Linked DNA regions of Elephas maximus indicus. The protein of the gene in region 2 purifies or fractionates together with the protein of the main gene of each other region. This does not show direct contact. Links are inferred from orthologs where the notes say so. Each region holds a gene or a part of one and is shown on either strand. Other genes may lie near its edges.

Region 1 (6,965 bases), on a different chromosome or scaffold from region 2:
GAGACCCAAAATATGACCTTGAGTATATCCCCCCCAAATTTAGAGACCATCTCAAGAATAGATTTGATGCATTGAACACTAGTGACTGAAGACCAGACGAGTTGTGGAATGACATCAAGGACATCATACATGAAGAAAGCAAGAGGTCACTGAAAAGACAGGAATGAAAGAAAAGACCAAAATGGATGGCAGAGGAGACTCTGAAACTTGCTCACAAGTGTCGAGCAGCTAAAGCAAAAGGAAGAAACGATCAAGGAAAAGAACTCAAGATTTCAAAGGGCAGCGCGAGAAGACAAACTATTGTGACGACATGTGCAAACAGCTGGAGACAGAAAACCAAAAGGGAAGAACACACTTGGCATTTCTCAAACTGAAAGAACTGAGGAAAAAATTCAAGTCTTAAGTTACAATAGTGAAGGATTCTATGGGGAAAATATTAAATGACACAGAAAGCATCAAAAGATGGAAGGAATACACAAGGTCATTATACCAGAAAGAATTATTTGAGGTTCAGCCATTTCAAGAGGTAGCATATGACCAGGAATCGATGGTACTAAAGGAAGAAGTACAAGCTGTCTGAAGGCATTGGCGAAAAACAAAGCTCCAGGAATTGACGGAATATCAACTGAGATGTTTCAACAAACAGATGCAGTGCTGGAGGTACTCACTCGTCTATGCCAAGAAATATGGAAGACAGCTTCCTGGCCAACCGAGTAGAAGAGATCCATATTTATGCCTATTCCCAAGAAAGATGATCCAACTGAATGTGGAAATTACAGAACAATATCATTAATATCGCACGCAAGCAAAATTTTGCTGAAGATCATTCAAAAATGGCTGCAGCAATATATCAACAGGGAACTGCCAGAAATTCAGGCCAGTTTCAGAAGAGGACATGGAACCAGGGATATCGTTGCTGATGTCAGATGGGTCCTGGCTGAAAGCAGAGAATACCAGAAAGATGTTTACCTGTATTTTATTGACCATGCAAAGGCATTCGACTGTGTAGATCATATCAAATTATGGATAATATTGCGGAGAACGGGAATTCCTGAACACTTAATTGTGCTCATTAGGAACCTTTACATAGATCAAGAGGCTGTCGTTCAGTCAGAACAAGGGGATATTGTTTGGTTTAAAGTCAGCAAAGGTGTGTGTCAGGGTTGTATCCTTTCACCAAACCTATTCAATCTGTATGCTGAGCAAATAATCTGAGAAACTGGACTGTATGAAGAACGGGGCATCAGGATTGGAAGAAGACTCATTAACAACCTGTGTTATGCAGATGACACAACCTTCCTTGCTGAAAGTGAAGAGGACTTGAAGCACTTACTAATGAAGATCAGAGACCACAGCCTTCAGTATGGATTGCACCTCAACATAAAGAAAACAAAAATCCTCACAACTGGACCAATAAGCAGTATCATGATAAGCAGAGAAAAGACTGAAGTTGTCAAGGATTTCACGTTACTTGGATCTACAATCAACAGCCATAGAAGCAGCAGTCAAGAAATCAAAAGATGCATTGCATTGGGTAAATCTGCTGCAAAGGACCTCTTTAAAGTGTTGAAGAACAAAGATGTCACCTTGAAGACTAAGGTGTGCCTGACCCAAGCCATGGTATTTTCAATCACCTCATACGCATCTGAAAGCTGGACAATGAATAAAGAAGGCCATAGAAGAATTGATGCCTTTGAATTGTGGCATTGACGTAAAATATTGAATATATCACTGACTGCCAAAAGAACGAACAAATCTGTCTTGGAAGGACCGGGCAGTGTTTTGTTCTGTTGCGAACAGGGTCACTGTCACTATGAGTTGGAACGGACTCGGCTGCACCTAACAACAACTACAAAAAGATTATGTGCAATTGCTATGCCTACTTCAACAATAAGAAAAAAATGAGGGCTGAAAACCGTTCTAATGGCTTCTACTGGACTAAGCTGATACTCAAATATCTGGGTTTTTTTTTTTTTGTGGGTGCTATTGTTGCTGTTTTATTTTCATTCCTGCAGCTGGATCATTGACCTATTTCACTTATTCTCTTACACTGAAGGCAGAATTCCAGCATTTTGTGAACCTTTATAAATGAAAGGCTTTAGAGCACTTGCAACGGTGCTTTTCAAAGATTATTTTTTATTTACTTATATTTGTGATTCATGTCCTTAAAAAGAGAGTATATACCCAAGTTATGGGAACAAATATTCTTGAGCAAATTTTTATAATCTTAAACTTAGTAATTTGAAAAATTAATACTATGGACAACAGCCTATAGTGTATAAAGACTACAACATACCTGAGAAGAAAGAGAAAAGGAGAGGGGAGACACTGCTTGAAAGAAAGACATGGAGAAACCAGGTAAGAACCATATCATACTTTTGGAAAATGAGATTAAAGAGGCAGAGGAACTGCAGTCAGCACTACCCGCTGTTTCATTGCGAGAAGCTTTGGACCAGAGAGTAAGGTAAAGAAGAATAAACGACGGCACCGTTGAAGATCTTCTGTTCATGAACATCTCCCCCGCTTATTCTACCAATTGGATGTTAATTTTTCTTTTAAATTTTATTTATTTTGTTGTTGTTACTGAGACTATACACAGCAAAATAATTTTTCTTAAAAAAACCTTTAATAAGAATATTTTGCTTAAATAAAAATAAGTTCCTACAGTCACAATGTAAGTAAATTTTTGGAGAATGTAAATTTTTGTTAGGAGTTTTGGCTGAAACACAGACCAGTTCAAAGCGAAAACCATAAAGGTCTCTAGACGAGCCAGGGCAGAATGACTTAGAAGCTGGGCAAAGGTGAATAAAGGAAGTGAAAAAAATACCTACTTTGCAATTTGCCACAGAAAAATGATCGGTCACGATTTAATGATCTCAAAGTTTCCTTCCAGCTCTAGAATTAATTCTGAGGGTTATTATGCAAAAAAATGAAATTTTACATACAAAATCATAATACGCAACATTCCTTCCTCTAATCTACATCAGTCAAATACTAAAGCAGGAGTTCCCTTTTCAACCTCAACAACATAAAAGCGAACGACTAAAAACTAGTTGCAAAAGACACAGGAAAACCAAAAGGTAGAAGTCACAGGGAGGTAAATACCTTCCGAATAAAGAATGTAATAACACACTGTCCAATAGTTTGATAATATTTGATAACTGACTGAAATCAGAAGTCCCAAGGAAATACAGATTATTGGGATGGTTCAGAACCTCTTCCCAGGAACACACTAAATAAGGACCCTGACCAGCCAGAGGCGAGAAAAAGAGATGATTTCTCCACCAGCCTCAAGGAAGTCCCTTCCCCAGGCACAATGGAGAAGAGCTCGGTTCTTTGCCACCCTGTTAACTGTCACGTTATTATCTGCCTTGCCACCTCTGCCTCAGCCACCCGTCACGTCTCACAGTCCCCTCCGCAGCCCTTCTCCACAAAGTTTCACTTTCCTGCCTGTTGGTCTCAAATTCTTCCGTGGGTTTATGCACACCTGCTGGACTCCAGCTCCTTCTTCCGGCCCCCCTGGAGTCCAGGCAGGGCAGCTGGGTCCCCCACTGTCCAGCAGATTCAGGGGACGGTGGGACCAGAACTCGGAGGGGTTCTGCGCCCACACCCCCATCCCGGAGGCTCCTTTTTCCCGCGGGTCATACCCACTCACAGCGCACAGTGTGGAAGGCGCAGCGCGGTTGCTTCTCGAAAGTCTCGCCCAACTTGAGAACTCGCTCGCGACTGCCGAGGTGCAAGTGTCCCGCCGCTCCATTCATCATTATCCTCTGCCTGCGACTTTGCCGCCGCCGCCGGGCTCGCTACCATCTGCCACCTCAGCCTCAAGTAGCTCCAGCGGCAGCTGCGAGCGCAGCCACGGCAGGCCCCGCCTTCCGCCCGACGCGCGCGGCCCCAGCGGGCGCGCTCGCGCGCTGATTGGCTGCCTGGCGAAGGGCGCCCCGCCCCCTGGCTCGGAGGCGTCTGGTCCCGCCTCCAGAGCCCATCCCGCGTTGCGACGCACGCTGGCCCGGGAAGGCCGCGCCTCTGAGGCGAGCGGTGGGAGAAGGCCGGGCTGGAGGAACCCGAAGCGAAGTTGAGGTAACGGACTGGCTGGCCCGGGGCTGGCCCGGGGGCGGGGAGAGGACCCCTGGATACCGGGAGGCCCGGAAGCCAGGCTCCTGGGGCAAGTAACCAGGTATGTCGGCGCTCTTAACCGGAGGCTCGGCCTGCTTCAGCCCTTTTTGCTCAATGTTAAAAGGGCCTTTTACCGAGTACTTACTTGTGTGGACTCGACGGAAACCGGTTGTGTGGAAACTGAGGTCCGGGATGGGGCTGTATCTGGGCACAAGGCCTGGTGTCTTGCCCAAGGTCTGGGCGCGCCAAAGGCGGGACTGGAACCCTGAGTAAATGAGCCCGCGGACCCCAGAGCCTCGGTCCTTGAACCTGAGGGCAGACGACGCCGTTACCTGAGCAGCCCTTCTCGGACCTCTGTGTTCCTGAGGAAGTGCCTGGTGGAGTTAGGCCTGGGAGAGGAGAAGTGGACGGAGGGAAGAAAGAGGATTCAGAGACGGTAACTGTAGACGTTTGGGATCACTTGCCTTCTTTCGTTTACTTCACAGTGATCCGTGGATGCAGTAACAGGCATCCTATAGGGATAAAAATACGTGACTCCTATAGGATCGAGAGTGGGGCTGGAGCTGGTAGTCTGGCAACAGGGTAATAAAAAAATAGCATCCGTAAATTAATAAATAATTGCCACAATGTTTTTTTTCTGTCAGAGCTTATTAATTTAACGGTAAAGATGGGAGAAGTGTTGCTTTGGAGCCAAATTGAAAAGCACCCAAAAGAAACTTTACAAATGGTTCCCAAAACCAAACCAAACCCAGCCCGCTGCCATCCAGTCGATTCCGACTCATAGGGAACCGCTGATCATTCTTCATTGTAGTTATGTAAAGTGAACTCCCTTACTTCCACCACAGCCAAATTGGCCAGTTTATTGCAGGGCTTCCAACTGGTTCCTTCTGGTTTGGACCCCTGCTGATAAAATGCATTTCCATCCCTAACCTCTTGCTGTCCAGTTGATTCTGACTCCTAGCGACCCTATAGGAGAGTAGAACTGCTCCATAGGGTTTCCAAGGAAAGGCTGATGGATTCAGACTGCCTATTCTTTGGTTAGGAGCTGTAGCTCCTAACCACTGTGCCACCAGGGCTCCATTTCCACCCCAGATATACCAAACCACCAAACCCATTGCTGTTGAGTGGATTTCCACTCATAGTGACCCTATAGTATGGAGTAGAACCGCCCCATAGGGTTTCCAAGGAACGGCTGGTGGATTCAAACTGCTGATCTTTTGGTTAGCAGCAGAGCACTTAACCACTGTGCCACCAGGGCTTCACCCCAGATATACTGACTCACACTCTACAGTTGAACAAGATCCCCAGGTGTATAATAAATTTTGAGAACCACTGTTCTACTAGTAGTTCTCAAAATTGGTCCTTAACCAGCAGCATTAGCATTGCCTGGGAACTTGTTAGAAATGCAAATCATCAGGGCTTCCAACAATTTGAAGCCCTGATTTATTGTTCTAGATGAATAGATGAATGTCTCCTTCAGCCTATCTGCTTGTCTAAATTTCTACACTTGTAAGGCCTACGAGTGGTTAAGAGGAAACCCTGGTGGCATAGTGGTTAAGAGGTATGGCCTCGAGCCAAAAGCTCGGCAGTTCGAATCCACCAGGTGCTCCTTGGAAACCCTATGGGGCAGTTCCACCCTGTCCTGTAGGGTTGCTACTAGTCAGAATCAACACACGGCTAATGGGTTTTGTTTTTCTTGGTTTTAAGACTGTACCTGAGTGCTCAGGTTCTGGAGCCAGAATTTCTGAGTTTGAACTCTGGCTTCATACCTAGCATTGTGATTTTGTGCAAACTAATTAACTCTCCAAAGTTAAGGCTGCTTATTGTTAAAATCAGGGAAAAAATAATATCTCTTAGAATAGGTGCCTTCATGGCGCAGTGGTTAAGCGCTCAGCTGCTAACTGAAAGGTCCGTGGTTCAAACCCACTAGCTGCTCCATGGGAGAAAGATATGGCAGTCTGCTTCCGTAGAGATTACAGTCTCGGAAACTCTGTAAGGCAGTTCTACTCTGTCCTATAGGGTCCCTACGAGTCGGAATTCAACTTGATGGCAGTGGCTGTTTGTTTGTTTGTTTATCTCTTAAAAATTGTTGAGAGGATTAAGTTAGTTAATATATGAAAACTTTTAGAAAAATGAATGGCAAATAATAAGAGCTCTCCAAGTAGTTTTTAATGTCTAGCTCTACCGTCAGAACATTTGAGGGCCGTCCTTGGTGGCTCTCTTCTCTTCTGTATATTAATTATTCTTAAAAAAAAAAAAAAAAAACCTGTCGCTGTTAAGTTGATTCTGACTCATAGCGATCCTAGAGAGCTGCCCCATAGGGTTTCTAAGGCATGGCTGGTAGGTACAAACTGCTGACCTTTTGGTTAGCAGCCTAGCAGCCGAGCTCTTAACCAGTGTGCCACCAGGGCTCCTTAATTATTCTAGGAGATGGGAATTGCTACTTTGTTTATAAGTCTAAAAAACTGGTTCAGGGAAGACCAGTCCTCTGACTTTATTATCTTATCATCTGTGTTATCTATTTGGTGCTTAAGATATTGTATTTTATAGATAGTTAAATGCCTTTTCTTTCCCAACTAGAACATCATTAATCATTGTGACCATTGCATCTAACATAGCGCCCTACACACAGATGTTTGGTGATGATCATGTTTCAGTTACGTTTTACTATGTTAGCCAGGAGGGCAGGAGCTATGTTTGAAGCCCATCTTATTCTTTCGAAATGACTTCCTGTCAGAAATTGGAGGTTCCCATACTGTAACAGGGAAAAAAGCAGAGGGTCAGGAAATTGAGTCTTGGAATATACAAGGTTCATGCCTTTATTCATTCTTTCAACATACATTCATTAA
Region 2 (7,976 bases):
CACATTATTTTTCTGGGCGTGCTGTGTGTGTTATACGTGTGGGCCCATAATTTATGTAGGCACATTACTTGGAGAAAATATGGTGCTTGATTGCTATACTCAAAGCTGTGACTTTCATGAGTGTTAGGGTTCTTGGGAATAAAAACCCCTATTACTGGGGACTGCTCCTTGAAGTTTCTTTTATCTTCAGTTCATCCCGCTACATCAGAAAGTCCCTACTGTCTCCTTGTAAACTGGTAATATTTTCAGCTTTTCTTACTAAGGTCTATTTATAACTACACCTCTTTCCCCAACTTCTGTTCCTGCAGGTTGCTTTTTTGGACAGAACCTAACATGACTCCATAACTGAGCTCATGAGCCTACACTAGAGCCAGCTCTCTCTCCCTTTTTCTAATATTAAGCTCCCTTGGGGAATTTTAAAATTCTATTATCTCTGCCCTTCATAACCTCTGTACAGGTGAGTGGATGAGTTTTAAGAAGCATCATGTTTGTTTATCAATGAGGTGCTAATCATCACTGAGGGGATGGCACTGCAAGATGTACACTCTTCATGCCTACTCACTAAATATTGGTAAAGTACCCCAACTATTATGACAACTAAAATAAAAATGTAAGCTTATAATGTCGTGGCTCAGTAATTTGGGCTGCTGGGTTCAGCTGAGTGGTTCTTCTACTGGTCTTGACTGGGACCACCAACAAGGCTACAGTTATCCCCTGGCCGGACTAGGGCTGGATAGTCTGAAGGATAGGAGTCTCAGCTTGGAAAGCTAATCTCTGCTCAATCACATTCACCAGTAGGTTAGCCTGGGCTTCTTTAAATGGTGATCTTAGAGCAGATAGGAGAATAAGTCCCACCCAATGCGCAAACTCTTTTCAAGCCTTTGCTTATTTCAAATTTGCTACTATCAATCAACTAAGTTAAACCCAGAAGCGATGTGGCAGAGGTTCTAGTGGGCCAAGACAATAGAATTTTTGAAGATTCCCCAAGGGAGCTTAATATGAGAGAAAGTTAAAGTTTTAGGGCACGCTCGTGAGCTTAGTTGTGTAATCATCTTAGGTTTTGTCCAAAAACACAAACTGCAAGAGCTGAGGTGTTTGTGCGTGTATATGCGTATGTAGTGGGGGAGGGGGGAGGTTAACAAGGGCATAGAGGAAGGCATGACACTGGGAGACTACTTACTATATAACAGTGTAACACACCATTGTTGTTTGCTGTGTGAACTTTTCTTTTTTCCAGGCACGGTAGCATATTCACACACACGCATATAATGTTAGTGGCTGGGATCACTGGTTTATATCTGGTACAAAAACGGGATGTCACTATATATCTTATTATAGGTAGTTCCCAAGTTAGACAACGAGATTCGTTTCTGTCTTTAAGTTGAATTTGTAGGTAAGTCGAAACAGATACACATGGTTCTTACTGAGCATCAGTTAGTCAAACGTTTGTTTTCCTATATAGTATGTATTTTACCTTTCTATGCATAAACACTTAAAAACCACTGTCAAACAGCACAATGTTTTCATGAGCGTCACAAAGTAGTGCCTGCGTTCGTTATTATGAACCACTGTATTAACTCAAATTAACATAATAGGTTTTATGCCAGCCCATTCTTAAGTACGAGTTTTCCTTAAATAGGATGTTTGTAACCTGGGGACTGCCTGTACAGCTATGATTTGTTTTTCCACATCACTAATCATTTTATAGGAAACCCTGGTGGTGGAGTAGTTAACAGTTCAGCTGCTAACCAAAAGGTCAGCAGTTCAAATCAACCAGGCACTCCCTGGAAACTCTATAGGCAGTTCTACTCTGTGCTATAGGGTTGTTATGATGCAGAATAGACTCAATGGCAATGGGTTTGGTTTTTGGTTTTTTTAGTCAGTTTATAAATAGAGGACTGCAAATTGTAAAACCAAATACCTTCACTTGGCAACAACATCCTTCAATGGACAATTAATTACATTTAATAATACAAATTTAAATATTTCTTCATCATGAACGTTTCCTATTACCATTGCTCCATTTTCTATGTTCTTATCTTTAAGAATACTTATTACCAGGAACTTCAATATCTGAGACCAATAGTCTATATAATTATCTTCTCTAACATTTAAAATTTTTTCTTTACTGCATTTTCAAAGAATTATCAAATTAATTTTTTATGAAATCTATATCCTGAAATTTTACTGGGAGCAGATTTTTTCTCAAGTATTCTAGCATTTCTTTGAATGAATCTGTTTCAGCAGGGGGCAACTTGTTATGGATTGAATTGTGTTCCCCCCAAAACTGTGCATCAACTTGGCTAGTTCACGATTCCCAGTATTGTGTGATTGTCCACCATTTTGTCATCTGATTTGATCCTCCTATGTGTTGTAAATTCTACCTCTATGATGTTAATGAGGTGAGATTAGCTGCAGTGATGTTAAGGAGACAGGGCTCAATCCACAAGATTAGGTTGTGTCTTAAATCGACCTCTTTTGAAATATAAAACATAAAACGGAGAAGCCAGGAGAGTAGAAAGAGGGGGATCTCATACTACCAAAAAAGTAGGGCCAGGAGCAGAGCATATCCTTTGGATTCAGGGTCCCTGTGCTGAGAAACTCCTAGACAAGCGGAACATTGATGACAAGGGCCTTCCTCCAGGGCCCACAGAGAGAAAAAGCCTTCCCCTGGAGCTGGTACCCTGAATTCAGACTTCTAGTCTACTAGACTGTGAGAGAATAAACTGCCATCTGTTAAAGACGTTCACTTGTGGTATTCCTGTTATAAGGGACCCTGGACAGCCAAGACACAGCTCTACCAGAGAACTGGTCCTTTTCACCTGAACCACAGAATAACTTCGAACTGCAAGTGAAGATTACTCATGAATTATAGAGATACAAAATTTAATGCCTTCAACATAACTGAGTGTTCACTCATTGCAATGATCCAAAAATTATTACAGTATAATTATCAGAAAAAAATAAACCTATAAAAATTTTTATATGAATCTGGGAATATTTAGTCTGGAAAGGAAAGTTCTCCCAGGTTAAGGATTCCATTGTGATTATATCATCTTATTCAATAAGAGCAATCTACTACATTCTATTTTTAAAGTCTGCAAAACTTTGTTAGGCCTGCAAAGTTTGCAAAGTCTGCATGTCTGGTGACTCCTACTAATCTTTCCAGTCTCATGCTGTGGGAAGACAAGTATCAGCTTGTTGCAAACTCATCCTTCCCCGTAAGAACAAGGCGAAACAAAACATTTATTATAAACAGTGGATATTAAATTTCTTATGGCCATGCTTTATTTTAGACACTGGGAAAGTAAGCAACCACTCATTTTTCTGATAAACCAAAATCAAAAACCTGTTGCCGGGGAACTGATTCCGACTCATAGCAACCCTATTTTTCTGAGAAGGTAGCTGAAAGTATATGGAAAATCATCTAAGGAATACAGGCTGGTTGGTAGAGAAAACAGAGGTAGCAATTATAAAAGGCAAATCTTTCTTATGAAGTGATTTTGGTCAGAAAAAATTCTTCATAAAGGCCTAAGGAAGAAAAAAGGCAGGTCTAAGCAAGTTATTTATTTATTTATTTTTTAAGCAAGTGTTCCTATAAGAAGGCCATTCATTAAACTGAAACATAAATCCCTTCTCTTTGTGAAAACTGACTGATGAAGAAAATTAGATGAAAAGTAATGAAGAGTTTTAGCGATTTTCCTCAAAATTACATACTGAGTGACTGGACTAGAACTTGAGTTAAATTTCCTGATTTTTTATAGCTAGGTACAAAGAGACTGCAGCACATAAGAACCTAGGCCTTAGCTAACTTGTTTTCTGCTGTATCCCCAGTGCCTAGTGGAGCGTACAACTTCAAGTTTATTGTCAGAATCAGTTAAACTATGACATTTAAGTACAATTTCGCTTTGGATTTGTACTGGTAGCCAAAAGATTGGCTGGTGGATTTCAACTGCCAATCTTTTGGCTACCAGTCCAGCTCTTAATTAACCACTGCGCCACCACTGAGGACAATATAAACACGTATCTCACTGCATTCCTATGAAAATTAAGTGAGAAAATGGATAGTTTTTGGCATGTAACCTTTTAGTAAAGGATTACACAAAATTATCATTCCTCCCAAAGGTCAGCAGTTGGAACCCACCAGCTGCTCCGCGGGAGAAAGATATGGCAGTCTGTTTCCCTAAAGATTACAGCCTATGGGGCAGTTCTTCTCTGTCCTGTATGGTCACTAAGAGTCGGAATCCACTTGATGGCAGTGGGTTTGGTTTTTAATACAAACTTGTCTTTAAAACTTATCTCACAAAATCACTACCTGTTTTTATTTTCTACTGAGCTAATTTTTTGTTATTACCCAAACGTGGTTTGGACAGAAATCTATCATTTATCTTCAAAATACTATCAGTCATAAAAAAATAAGTACAGATGAGAAGCACTGGTCCATATAGTTGGAAAAGTCATTTCAATTTCCAGTCTACTATTGATTTTTTATTGCAGAATAGGAAACCCTGGTGGCGTAGTAGTTAAGTGCTACGGCTGCTAACGAAGAGGTCGGCAGCTCGAATCCGCCAGACACTCCCCGGAAACTATCGGGCAGTTCTACTCTGTTCTGTAGGGTCGCTATGACTCGACGGCAGTGGGTTTGGTTTTTTTTGTTTATTGCAGAATAGAAACCCTGATGGTATACTGGTTAAGATCTACGGCTCCTAATCAAAAGGTCCGCAGTTCGAAACCACCAGGCCCTCTATGGGGGCAGTTCTACTCTGTCCTATAGAGTCGCTGAGTTGGAATCGACTCAACCGCAAAGATTTGGTTTGTTTAGTCCAGTATGGCCGAAAGCACAGAGATGGACCAAAACTTAATAGGAATAGCAGCGACGAACGCCCGACAAGCGCTACCATAAAAGGGCAGCCCCCTCGGTTATCAAGCGACAGAAGCAGGACTAAGATCTCTTCTCTCTAAACCCCAGCACTAGCCTGGATAGGTACTAACCTTTTTGCTCTCGAGTTTTCACTCTACCCTAGCTCCTTAACCTTGGAGCCTTCAATGCGCGCAGGAAAAGGTGCTACAGGTAAGGGGGTAGGGTCAGAAGAATGCGGTGTCCGCTTCTCAATTCCTCAGTAACCCCAAATCAAGGTCTCGGCAGCGTTGCCCCCACTCCACTGTATGGAGAGAGATTCCGATGCCAAAAAAGGGTAAAACTTTTTTTTTTTTTCTTTTTTCTTTTCAGAAGGCACCACCCAGGGCGCCGCTGGCAAACATCTGAGAAGGCGGGGTCTTAACTCCTCTTCAGATCCGGGCGGGGCCCTTCGGACGCAAAGGTAGGAGATTCTGTAAATCCGGACCGCTCCTTTCAACCCCTCCCCCGCCGCGGACCGACAGCTCGACCTCACCTGGGAGCGGCTCCACCGATGGCTGCTTAAGGAAACCTCAGGAAGAGCGGCCCGGTGAGTGACGCTACCGACGCCACAGTCATGGTCTACCTCGCTCAGTCCACCAGCGCCGACGCGCCTCAGCCACCGCGCCTCCAGCCTCCTGGTCCTACCCCTGCCGTCCTGGTATAGTCGCACTGCACGCTGGGAACGCCCTACATCCCAGAGACTTCAGCTCCCAGCGTACACATGCTTCCGAGCAGAACTGCACGCCGGGATTTAGAGTCTTCATCCCACTCCTTCTCCTGCTCCTTAACCCCGAGTCGATGTACCCCCCCGCCCCCGCCCCCGCCCCCGCCCGGGGAATCTGAACGTAAAGCATCATTCACCGCCGTGAAATGTAGCCTCCCCTTGCATCCGGGACCTTGCTCTGGCCTTGGCTGGGTGGGGAATGGTGTCGCCTAGCAGCGGCTGCCGCTTCTGCTTGCTCGGGACCGGTTGGCGGAACCAAGAGGCCGGGTGGAACCGCGCTGAGAAGCGATCGGGGCGCGGCAGCGGGGCTCGGTTTGGTGCGTGCGATAAATGAGGGGCCGCTGGTGGATCCCAGGCTTGGTCTAGGTGGGTGGCTCCCGGTGAGCGGGAGCTACAATTCTGCATAGGTTTTTGGCCTCAGGGCCCATTTGCAACAGCTCAGCTTCCCCGTCTCTTCTACCTCTGGTCTGCAATTCTTTTGCCTTCTTTTTGTTTCAGCCCTGGTTTCCCCGGTCCATCTGCGCTCATAGTAACCAATTTTTTTTACGCGGTTTTTGTACCCAGTTACTACTAATGCGAGCCAGGGGTCATTTTTTAGCCTTTACTGCACCTCTGCGCTTAGCACCCTTGGATGTGCGCGCGCTTTGGTGGTAGGAGAGGGTGAGGCAGAGGACCCAGAATCTTACCCTCGACCTGAATTAGTTTTAGCCAGAAAGCTGCCATATTTTATTTAGCAGGAACAAGAGTTTCTTCTGACTGCGTTAGTCGTCTGCTGTAGTTCTGATCAGGGTTATTTTGCCTACTTAACTGTTTTGCAGTTAAGCAGCAAAAGCTCTTCGTTAACTAGCTCAGGCAGTTATAGTGAGTCAATAATGCTGTTTACTTTGGAAAATCTGATACTCCGGTTTTGTTACAGAAGGTAAAGCACGGTGAAAGAATTCAACATGCCACCTAATATAAACTGGAAAGATATAATGAAAGTTGACCCAGATGACCTGCCTCGGCAAGAAGAACTGGCAGATAATTTGTTGATTTCTCTATCCAAGGTGCTTAATTGATAAATAACACATGGATGTACATTTTTTTTTGTTGTTTATGTATGTGTATGATTAAGTTGTCACTGACATCATTGAATGGTGCAACCGGAAGAGTTCTTGTATTTTGATTAAGGGTTAAAGTTGTTTGTTTGTTTACTTAGGTGGAAATAAATGAAATAAAAAGCGAAAGTCAAGAAAGCTTGATACATCTTTTCAGAGTTACTCAGTCCCTAATGAAGGTTTGTATCCAATAGGCTTAATACTTTTTACTATCTTAAATAAGATGATCTTTGTGAAAGTACTTTGTGAAATCTAAATTGCTATGAGTCAGAATCAACTCGATGGCATACAACAACACAACAAATTGCCACTCAAAAATATCTCCATGTGATTGAGAGCCTTCAGTGTGTAAAACATTGCAGTTTCGTACTGTAATGTTCCTAAAAGAATGTATAGGGGAAACAATGAGTATGTTTAAAGGTAAGTAAGTATGTGCTGAGGTGCAAATGAATAATGCAGACAATGACTGCTATGGGAATTTGTTAGGAGGGGGAGAGATTTAAAAGTTTGAGGGAATCTAATAAAGGATAATAACTAGTCTTAGGAAAGTAGAGGGGTATGGTAAGATGGCAAGGGCATTCTAGAGCTGGGGGTTACTGTAAATAAAGGCAGAATAGATAATATGCTTATTCTTTACATTGAAGGAGATAACCGCAGAAAGCATGTAGCAGATTGTAGAGGAAATAGACATTAGTGGATAGTTTCTTATAGGCTATGGAAGACCTAAAGATATATTTTAAACTATCAACAATGAGGAGCCATTAGACATTTTTGAACCACAATTGATGCAAAAATATACCTTAGGAAGGATAAACTGGGTTTGGTACATAGGATGAATTGAAGGGAGTTGATGCTGAAGCTAGACATAACACAATGGGTTAGAATTAAGAACTGAAATTGAAAAAAGAAGTAGTAAAGAAATTTGTAAAGGAAAAAGTTGCAATACTGACATAAATCTTGAGGGAAAAAGAAGACTCAAATGTGTTTCCAACTGGTAAGAATCTCGAAACTATAATTTTCAATAAGAAAATCATTAATGTATTCATTCAACAAATAATTACTGAATGTCTCTATGTGTTAGGCATTGAAGGCACTGAGAATTAGGATGGTAAATAAAACAAAATCCTTATTCTTAGTGGCTATAGCTAGTGTTAAGACACTGAAATAACTTTTTTTTTTTTTTTTAATGTTTAGATGAAAGCCCAAGAAGTAGAACTAGCATTGGAAGAAGTTGAAAAAGCTGGAGAAGAGCAAG
Region 3 (7,848 bases), on a different chromosome or scaffold from region 2:
AGTTCTTTGGCGATAAAATGAAGGAAAATAATTAGTATAGAAAGCAATTCAGTACATCACCATGATTAAGAAGCTCTCTAATTACATGGCACTGGGTTCAAATCCCAGCTGCTCTGGCTGTTAATTAGCAAGTTACTTGCCTCTTTTGCCTTCAGATTTTTATTCTACAAAATAACAGTAGTACTTCCTTAATAGAGTTGTTTTTGAACTAATAAAATGTGCATATAAAGCACTTAGCATAAGGCCTACCCCATAGGATCTACAAAGTTTCAATGGGATGTAAAATACTTTGCCTGTGAAACTAAATTGTATCTTGAGAGTTCACTAAATATCTCTGGCAGTGGATCTGAGTTACAGCATGGCATGTTGGAAAAAATATGGGACTTAGTCGGGAAATTTTGGTCCAAATGCTAGTTTTGGCATTTACTAAATAGCAAGACCTTGGAGTAAGTCCCCAAATACTACTGTCAGTTTCCTTATTTATAGAAAGGAAATAATGCCTATCTCAGTGTTGAGACAAGGCTTTAAAAGAATATATTATGTACATTCTAAAATAAAGAATCAAGAAATATAAAAGCCCATTCTAAAGTTATGTAATGCTACATAACTAATAAGGTTTTGCTGGTATAGGGCAGCGGTGGGAATGAACAGCAAGAGACCTCAGTTCTAGTGCTGGGGCTGTCACCTCAGTGCAATGGAATGAAGCACTGTTTTTCTGGACATCACTTTCTTCACCTCCAAAATGAGATGATTAAACAATCATTAGGTTGTTTCGAGATCTGACATTCAATGGTAGTGTATATTCAAATCTATGATCAGTTCTGACTTTCCCTTCTTTCTCAAGGAGGTAGTAGGGGCACTTGCACTAAAGGTCCCTTAAGAAATCCTGGCCTGTTCTTGTTGGGGCTGGGAAAACTGTCTACGCTAACATTGACTTCCATGGCACAGAGCCATAAGTATGTGTACTATGCAACATTCAGGATATCATGACCAGATGTCAATGACAACAGGTTCAATGGCAGCACTTCCCCTCTCTATCCTTGGGCTACAAGGGGGAAAGACGGAAGAGGCTGTTTAGCTAGTGGGAATTTTCTTCGACTTAGAGCTCAGGTGGGGAAGTCTCTCATCCCAAATGTAACCCTATAGGACAGCGTATAACTGCCCCATAGGGTTTCCAAGGAGCATCTGGTAAATTCAAACTGCCCGGCCTTTTGGTTAGCAGCTGTAGCTCTTAACCACTATGCCACCAGGGTTTCCTCCCTTCCCAAAGCCTTGCTAAATGAACAGCAGGACCCCTAGAAGGGCTCATGGGCAAAGCCTCTTCTGAACCATGCCTTAGCAACACCTATAAATACAGATTCAGGGGAGGACAAAGGGCATTAATCAGGCACCCTGGGATTCATTCCCTCTAGTTCTCCCCCATTTCTCTCTGTGCCAGGCCTTCCTACAGAAATGCACTAAAATGCTGGGAGTCACCCTACTCATTAGTTGAAAACTAAGTGATGACTAGTCAATTTGGTCAAAATGGTGGACCCAGCTGTGCTTTCAGAAATCACTATATTATTGTGTGCTGTCAAATCGGTTCCAACCCCTAGTAACCCTATAGGACAGAGTAGAACTGCCCCATAGGGTTTGCTAAGCTGAAACCTTTACAGGAGCAGATTGCCAGGTCTTTTCTCCCATGGAGCAGCTAGTGGGTTCCAACTGCCGACCTTTCAGTTAACAGCTGAATGCTTAACCATTGTGCCACCAGGGCTCCTTGAAATCACCAGTTATATCCATGTACATACATGCACACCAAATGCCTTTTTCCTCTTGTACAGACACGAAATATTGAACACTGTAAGCACCAATCCAGGTAAATGCTCCTGATCTGAATGAAAATAATCCCACAGGAGCAGTCTTTATGCTATAAGTCTAGACTGAAGATGAAAACTCTGGGAGGGCTACAGGTAGGCCAAGACAGAATCTCCCTACTACAAATATTCAGGCAACTGGAGCGGGATTTGATTTGAGGTTTGCTGAGGCTAAAAATGCCCTGGTTTTGGTTGGATGTTATCACTTCAAATCTCTCCCTCCATGTACCATAGGTATACAATTTAGAATTTCTATTAAATTCAGCCAGTATTCAAACAAGTAGCTCTTGTGATCAAACATCTAAGCTTCTAAATGGACAGGAGAAAGAGATGTGTTATTTAACTCATTGCAACTTTGCCTTTCAGACTTGAGTTTTAATTTGCTGTTTTTTTTATGATGGGGTAGCCACTCTTAACACCCCCCAAAAGCCATTTTATAAATGATCTCTTCCTTATTCTCCATAATATACTTCTGCTCCCTCTAGGATATTAGAATTGCCAGGACAACTTGCTGTACATGAGGTTACTCACATAACGATAACGCTATATAAGCTTGGCTCTCACCCAATGCATTCATCTAGGAAAGTATTTCACTTTCAGCTTTTAGTCTAGGTTACACAATTAGAAACTTTTGCTTCAATTGTCTTGTCACTTGCAACAAAGAGAATTTTCTGGATTTGGGTTCTTCTGGTTGACTCATGATAAAATATGTGTATGAGATACTTTCCTATATGAAAACATCAGAGAACAGAGCTGGGGGGAGTGTATAAATTATGAAAATGATCGCAAATGCTTTAACTTCGTTAGACTTGTTCCTATAAAAGTCAAAAGCTGCAAAACTCAATGCCACATCAGGAAACAGGAGCACCATTCTAGGGCCATTACCACCTACTCTATGTTGTTCTCTAAAATGCTTACACTGTAAATGCTTGTTGAACCCCACAATGAACAGGAACAGGCCACTCCCAACCACTCTGGAAGCCCCGTGAGGAAAAGAAACTGCCTTTAAGTTTTTATTGCTAACCTTCCTGCCCCAAAATCAAGGCACACAATAGGTATTCAATAATCATTAATTAACGTCTCATCTTCACAGAAAGCTAAACCTAACGGGTGCAGGAGAAACAGCAAACAAGGGATGAAACATTTTGCACTGTAGAGTATCTGCTGAGAAATTGAGGCTGTGAGGAAAAAATGTGCGAGTATGAAGGTCACCCAGTTAAAGAAAAAGCTGGGGTGTGAAAAAGCTACTGTACTTAAAATGTGCACTGTTCATATTTGTCAGATAATGGCCAACATTTTCTAAAATCAAGGTTTACCAAATTGGACTTCGTTTGACTCATTTACAGTACAAAAGGGCTAATCTTCTTTGACATGCTATTCAAAATGTGAGGGTTTCTTTCTTCCTCCTTTTTTTACCCTTTGAACATAATCCACTTAGTTCCCATTCCCAGAGCACCTCCCAAATAGCGGCAGAGGGAGAGCTCTGGGAAGCCCTTGTTGAGGCACTTAGCGGAACTTTGTTCTCCACATGGGCTATTGAGAAGCGTCTCGGTTTCCTCGGGTGACTCCACATTCTCCCTCACTCTTCTCACGCTGCGACCAGGAGTTAAGGGTGGTGAGATTCTCCTAGGCGAGCCGAAGAGGCGCTGACCATGGTGCTGGCCTCCGATCTCGGTACCCGAGAGCGACAGGCGCCCAAGAAGGTGCAGCCAGAGAGGGCGCAGAGCGGGCAGGGAGCGGTGGTCGGAGCCCCGACCCCTCCCGAACCCGAGGGAACTCACGGGCCTTCACGCGAACCCCTCCTCCGCACGCTCCGAGCTGCATCAAAAAAGGGTGGGGCACCCAGCCACAGCTGCAATCGGAAGCCGCCCGGGAGGATTTAAGAAGAATGAAACCGCGGCCCACTCCCCTCCGCGCAACCCCGGGCCGGGAATCAGCCAGTCCTTTACCCCCCCCCATCCCCCACCTCCCAGATCCAGAGAGGTGCGGGCAGCCTTTGTGGGCGTACAGCCGCCCACCGACGAGCCTCTCCGCACCCTGGGCGGAGAAGGGGCAGGTTGGGTGGGGTATGTGTGCATATGCAGAGAGGCAACATTAAAGAAGGAGCAGGAAAGAGGGTACCCTTGGATTCTCGGGTCTCCACGGAGCCGGGAGGGAGAGGCAACTCCCACACGCCCCGTCCTTCATCTCCTCCGCCCTCCCATACCAACCTGGTCGTTGATGTTCTGCAGGGCTTCCTTGCCCGAGGCCCGACGGATCTCCACCTTCCGGCTCGATTCAACAGATGGCTCCCCGCCGGCACGCCGGCCCTGCCGGGAGTACGGCGGCTGCGGGTCGGGGCCCAAGTGGGCGACGTCCCGCTGCTGAGCCACAACCTGCCCCGAGCCCCGGCCCACCGACAGCGAGTCGAAATCGATGGTTTTGTTCTCCGAGGACCCTTCCACCGGGCAGAACATGCCACAGAATTTCTGTCGGGGCTTGGGGCTGCCTGAGCCCAGCTTTTTAAAAAAGGCAGGGACCTCTTCGTCCTCTGCCTGCTTCCCGGATTGCTTCCTCTCAGCCATGGCGCGATGGCTTGGGGAAGGGTCCTCTTCCTCCGTCTGTCTGTCTGTCTGCCAGTCCCTAAGTCTCCCACTATCTGTGCAAAAATCCCCCGCTGCTGCCACGGATGTCTCTTTCTGCCTAAGGCAAGGTGTACAGAAAGGAAGGAGGGCTTTGGAGCGGGCTGTCTACCCCTCCCAGCCCCTCCCCCTGGCCCTGCTTTCTCCCCCTCCCTGCCCACGCCCCCAGCCTCCGCGCAAGCTCCGGCGAGCGGCGAAGTTAGGCCGGGGAGGGCGGCCGCTGCGGCTGCGGGAGCCGAGAGGCAGCCTGTTCCCTGCAGCTGCGCTAGGAGGGGGGGCGCGGGGCGGGGCGCCGAGGAGGGGAGGGGAGGGGAGGGGCGGGCCACGCCATCTCGAGCCCCACGCTCCGGAAGTGAAGCGGCCAGACCACCGGCTAACGGTTGCCGAGTGCGGGGCCTGATGACCGCTCTCCGGCGCTAGGGTAAGTAGAGGGGCTGGGTATGCGTAGGCGACGACCCGAAAACGCAGCCCCTGGTCCCCTGCCCTCCTCTCCCCCACCTGCCTGGCCCAGGCGCCTCTCCCTCTCACCGCATTGCGGAGATGGAACCGCGGGCTGGGGGCTCCGCGGGTTGGGATCCCTCCCCTTTCCCGGGGTATTTGCTGATGGATGGGGAAAAGGAGACAATCTGGCAGAAGTCAGGACAACTGGGGGGCGTCAGTGGGAATGGGGAATGGCAGGCGGTGCGGAGAATAGGGTGCCATCCGAGGCGCGGAAAACCAAAGCCCCAGTCACCCACGGGCCTTGGTGGGCTGCGTGGAGCAAGGATGAAGCGAGAACATTCTTGCTTGGTGTATCCCCAGGGGTGGGGGGTGCACAACGTGTTCAGAAGAAATGCAGAGGGGCGTAGCAAATGAGGAGGTATAAAGAGAGACTTAAGCCTGTGGTTTATGGGAGTTTTAGCAAGGAGTGCAGTCTGCGGATTCCAGTGCAGCCACTTGTAAAGACAGAGAGGGTGTAGACCCGCTACATTGCCTGAGGGCCCCATGTAATATTTCTGCGCCCCTGCGCCAAGAAGGGCCAAGGAGAGTGTCTTGATTTGATATCTTCCACCGCCCCTCTCCAAAGGGGAAAATACGTAGAATAAAGCCCACTCCCTAAATCTCCAGGCCTTCCTCACGCCCGAGCACCCCGCCTAGTCTCCCCCGCCCCTGTTGCGCACTGCGCCAGAGCAGGGCCAGACGCCACGTGCTTGTGGTGTTAGTGTGTGCGCATCCGCTGGGGACTAGGAGGCAGGGTGCGCACTGTGATAGAATGCAGAGAATTGCGTTTGGGGACAAGAGGGGCAACTGTGTGGAGGTGTGGTGTTTCTATGGGGGTGTTTCAGCCGTGACCACCGGGTCGGTAGGCATTCAGGTGTCATTTTGATTTGTGTCAGTAACGCCGTCGATGCTTACTCTTCTTGTCCTCTTCTTACCGTATATCAATCTCTGCTTCTGATCGAGTGCAGCCCCCCTCTTTTCCTACAGTGGCAAAATTTTGCGAAAATGATGCCCACCCATCCGAGGCTCAGAAGGGAGATCTGGCCTTGCTCTGTGACCAGGGCGGGTTTGGGCTAAGAGGCGATTTCCCGCAGCGTCACCACGCCAGGCATTACGGGCCAAGGATTCAGTACCGTTGTCAACCCTTGTCCCTGGAAGGATTAAATGTGGATCCCCCACCCCTATTGTCAGTGATGGTTTGGTGAATGGGGTTAAATTTGGAGGACGACTAGTCACAGTGTGAAGATGAGCCCATCATAGGTGGGAATGAACCTCAAAATGAGGAGGGGAGAATGAAGAAGAAGAATACACATATGGAGCAGGCGAGAGACCCCCATAGGCAGGTATTCCGGATTTAGCATCAGATAGACTTCTTTTGAACTAAATGCTTTCACGTGAATTACGTTATTACCTACTCACGGCAGCCCTGTTAGATAAATGGGACAGGTTTATTGTCACTATTTTCCAGGTTAGGAAACTGTGATTTAAAAGGATTGAGGGACCTTGGCCAGGGTGACCTATCTAGTTAACTGATGCAACAGTTCCACTGGGGGTCTTCCATCTGAAAATCTGTTCCTTTTCCAGTTTATCCTATTGGTTCTGTTGATGTGAGAAAATATAAGGTTTTCACTTTTTTTTTTTTCCATATCTAAGTACTTCCATCCATGGCCCTATTGGATACCAAGGGTGTTTCACTTGCTTTTTTTATTTGAAAGTCACATTGCAGGTAGGAGCTCACGTCCTTGGGGCTCCTGGGGATAGGAGTAAAATAGCATTTTGTTTTCCTGGCCTTTTGGCACTTATGGTGCCTTCAGCACCTCCTAGAAGGACTCAGGAGATGTACCTGCAACAGGAGCAGCTGCTGTTCTAGCTACAGGTTGGTATCATAGCATATGGACCTTCCTCAGATTGATGGAGATTTTCATGCCAAGGGGAGAATGATTGTAGCACCCTAACGTGTACTCCAGCAACGCTGACTGGGAGGCATCACTCTTCCGACTTTCTATTCCCAGTCTCCACAGGCTTTCCAGGACAAGCTCAGTAGATAGGCTTCTTTTTGCCTTGAATGACCCATTTAAATTCAAATGCTAGGAGAAAAAAGTGTTGTGATAGTAACCATTCATAACAAAAGAAATGCCAAAGACTAACCAGACGTAGCAAAAAAGAATTAGTCCATGATTCCAAGTTTAGTGTATTTGGCCCTAAGATTTTCTTTTTCTAAATGCTATCTATATATTAAATTATTTTTAAATGTTTGACCGATTCCTAACTGGGTATTTTTTAATCAAAGAAAGGAAGCAGTTCAATAGCTGTTTAGTAGAGCTAGCTAAATCGTGAAAGATTGTCATATTTTTAATAAGTGTAGAAACAGTCTTTATGACTGCATATTATTGAGCTATAAAACCACATGATTTTTATGTGTAGCAGGACATCTTGACTTGGCTGGAGCTAAGACTCAGAGACACCATCGTGTGGAGTTGGGTGACATCATCCTATACTAGAAGCTGAATAAGCTGTTCACTCTCAAGGAACATTCTGGAACATATAAACAGGTATTTAGCCACATCTTTTGATTTCATCCCTTATGTGGGAAAAATCTTGGATCTTGTCCAAAAGTGGGGTTTAGACATTGATTGACATGTCTGATGAGCATATGCTGGGGAAGCTGTATTTCAGAGGGTCCCCAAGAGAAAATAAAAAAGTCACTATAATCAAAGAAGAATTCTTGACAGAGTGGGCTAGACACAGGTACAATGTAAGACAAAACCCCTGGTCTACCCCCACTTCCTTCCCAAACTAGAATATGTATGCTTCCTGGTATGCTTCAGTGGTAAAACTGAAAATTGTTTCACTAGGAGTCCAAGTCACGCTACTGTGAGACTTCTCTTCAA

Evidence for each region. The genes of interacting proteins can lie anywhere in the genome.
Region 1: the proteins of CEP290 (region 2) and IQCB1 purify together in Homo sapiens (co-immunoprecipitation; 8 studies listed by BioGRID and IntAct, counting the BioPlex papers as one, with this or other methods). This does not show direct contact. The link is inferred for Elephas maximus indicus from reciprocal best matches to the Homo sapiens genes CEP290 and IQCB1.
Region 3: the proteins of CEP290 (region 2) and PNMA2 purify together in Homo sapiens (co-immunoprecipitation; 3 studies listed by BioGRID and IntAct, with this or other methods). This does not show direct contact. The link is inferred for Elephas maximus indicus from reciprocal best matches to the Homo sapiens genes CEP290 and PNMA2.

What each region holds. Positions count from the first base shown.
Region 1 is NC_064819.1:12,353,630-12,360,594, reverse strand, and holds the start of IQCB1 (IQ calmodulin-binding motif-containing protein 1), read left to right. Parts: upstream 1-3,945; 5' UTR 3,946-4,177; intron 4,178-6,965. Other genes in the region: EAF2 (ELL-associated factor 2), read right to left, coding at 3,656-3,764. UniProt on the Homo sapiens protein: Involved in ciliogenesis. The function in an early step in cilia formation depends on its association with CEP290/NPHP6.
Region 2 is NC_064822.1:151,779,463-151,787,438, reverse strand, and holds the start of CEP290 (centrosomal protein of 290 kDa), read left to right. Parts: upstream 1-4,959; 5' UTR 4,960-5,071; exon of another isoform or gene 5,072-5,230; 5' UTR 5,231-5,447; exon of another isoform or gene 5,448-5,676; intron 5,677-5,807; exon of another isoform or gene 5,808-5,990; intron 5,991-6,540; 5' UTR 6,541-6,568; coding exon 6,569-6,670; intron 6,671-6,822; coding exon 6,823-6,900; intron 6,901-7,915; coding exon 7,916-7,976. UniProt on the Homo sapiens protein: Involved in early and late steps in cilia formation. Its association with CCP110 is required for inhibition of primary cilia formation by CCP110.
Region 3 is NC_064840.1:47,007,931-47,015,778, forward strand, and holds the start of PNMA2 (paraneoplastic antigen Ma2), read left to right. Parts: upstream 1-4,828; 5' UTR 4,829-4,898; intron 4,899-7,381; exon of another isoform or gene 7,382-7,384; 5' UTR 7,385-7,509; intron 7,510-7,812; 5' UTR 7,813-7,848. Other genes in the region: DPYSL2 (dihydropyrimidinase-related protein 2), read right to left, coding at 4,067-4,420.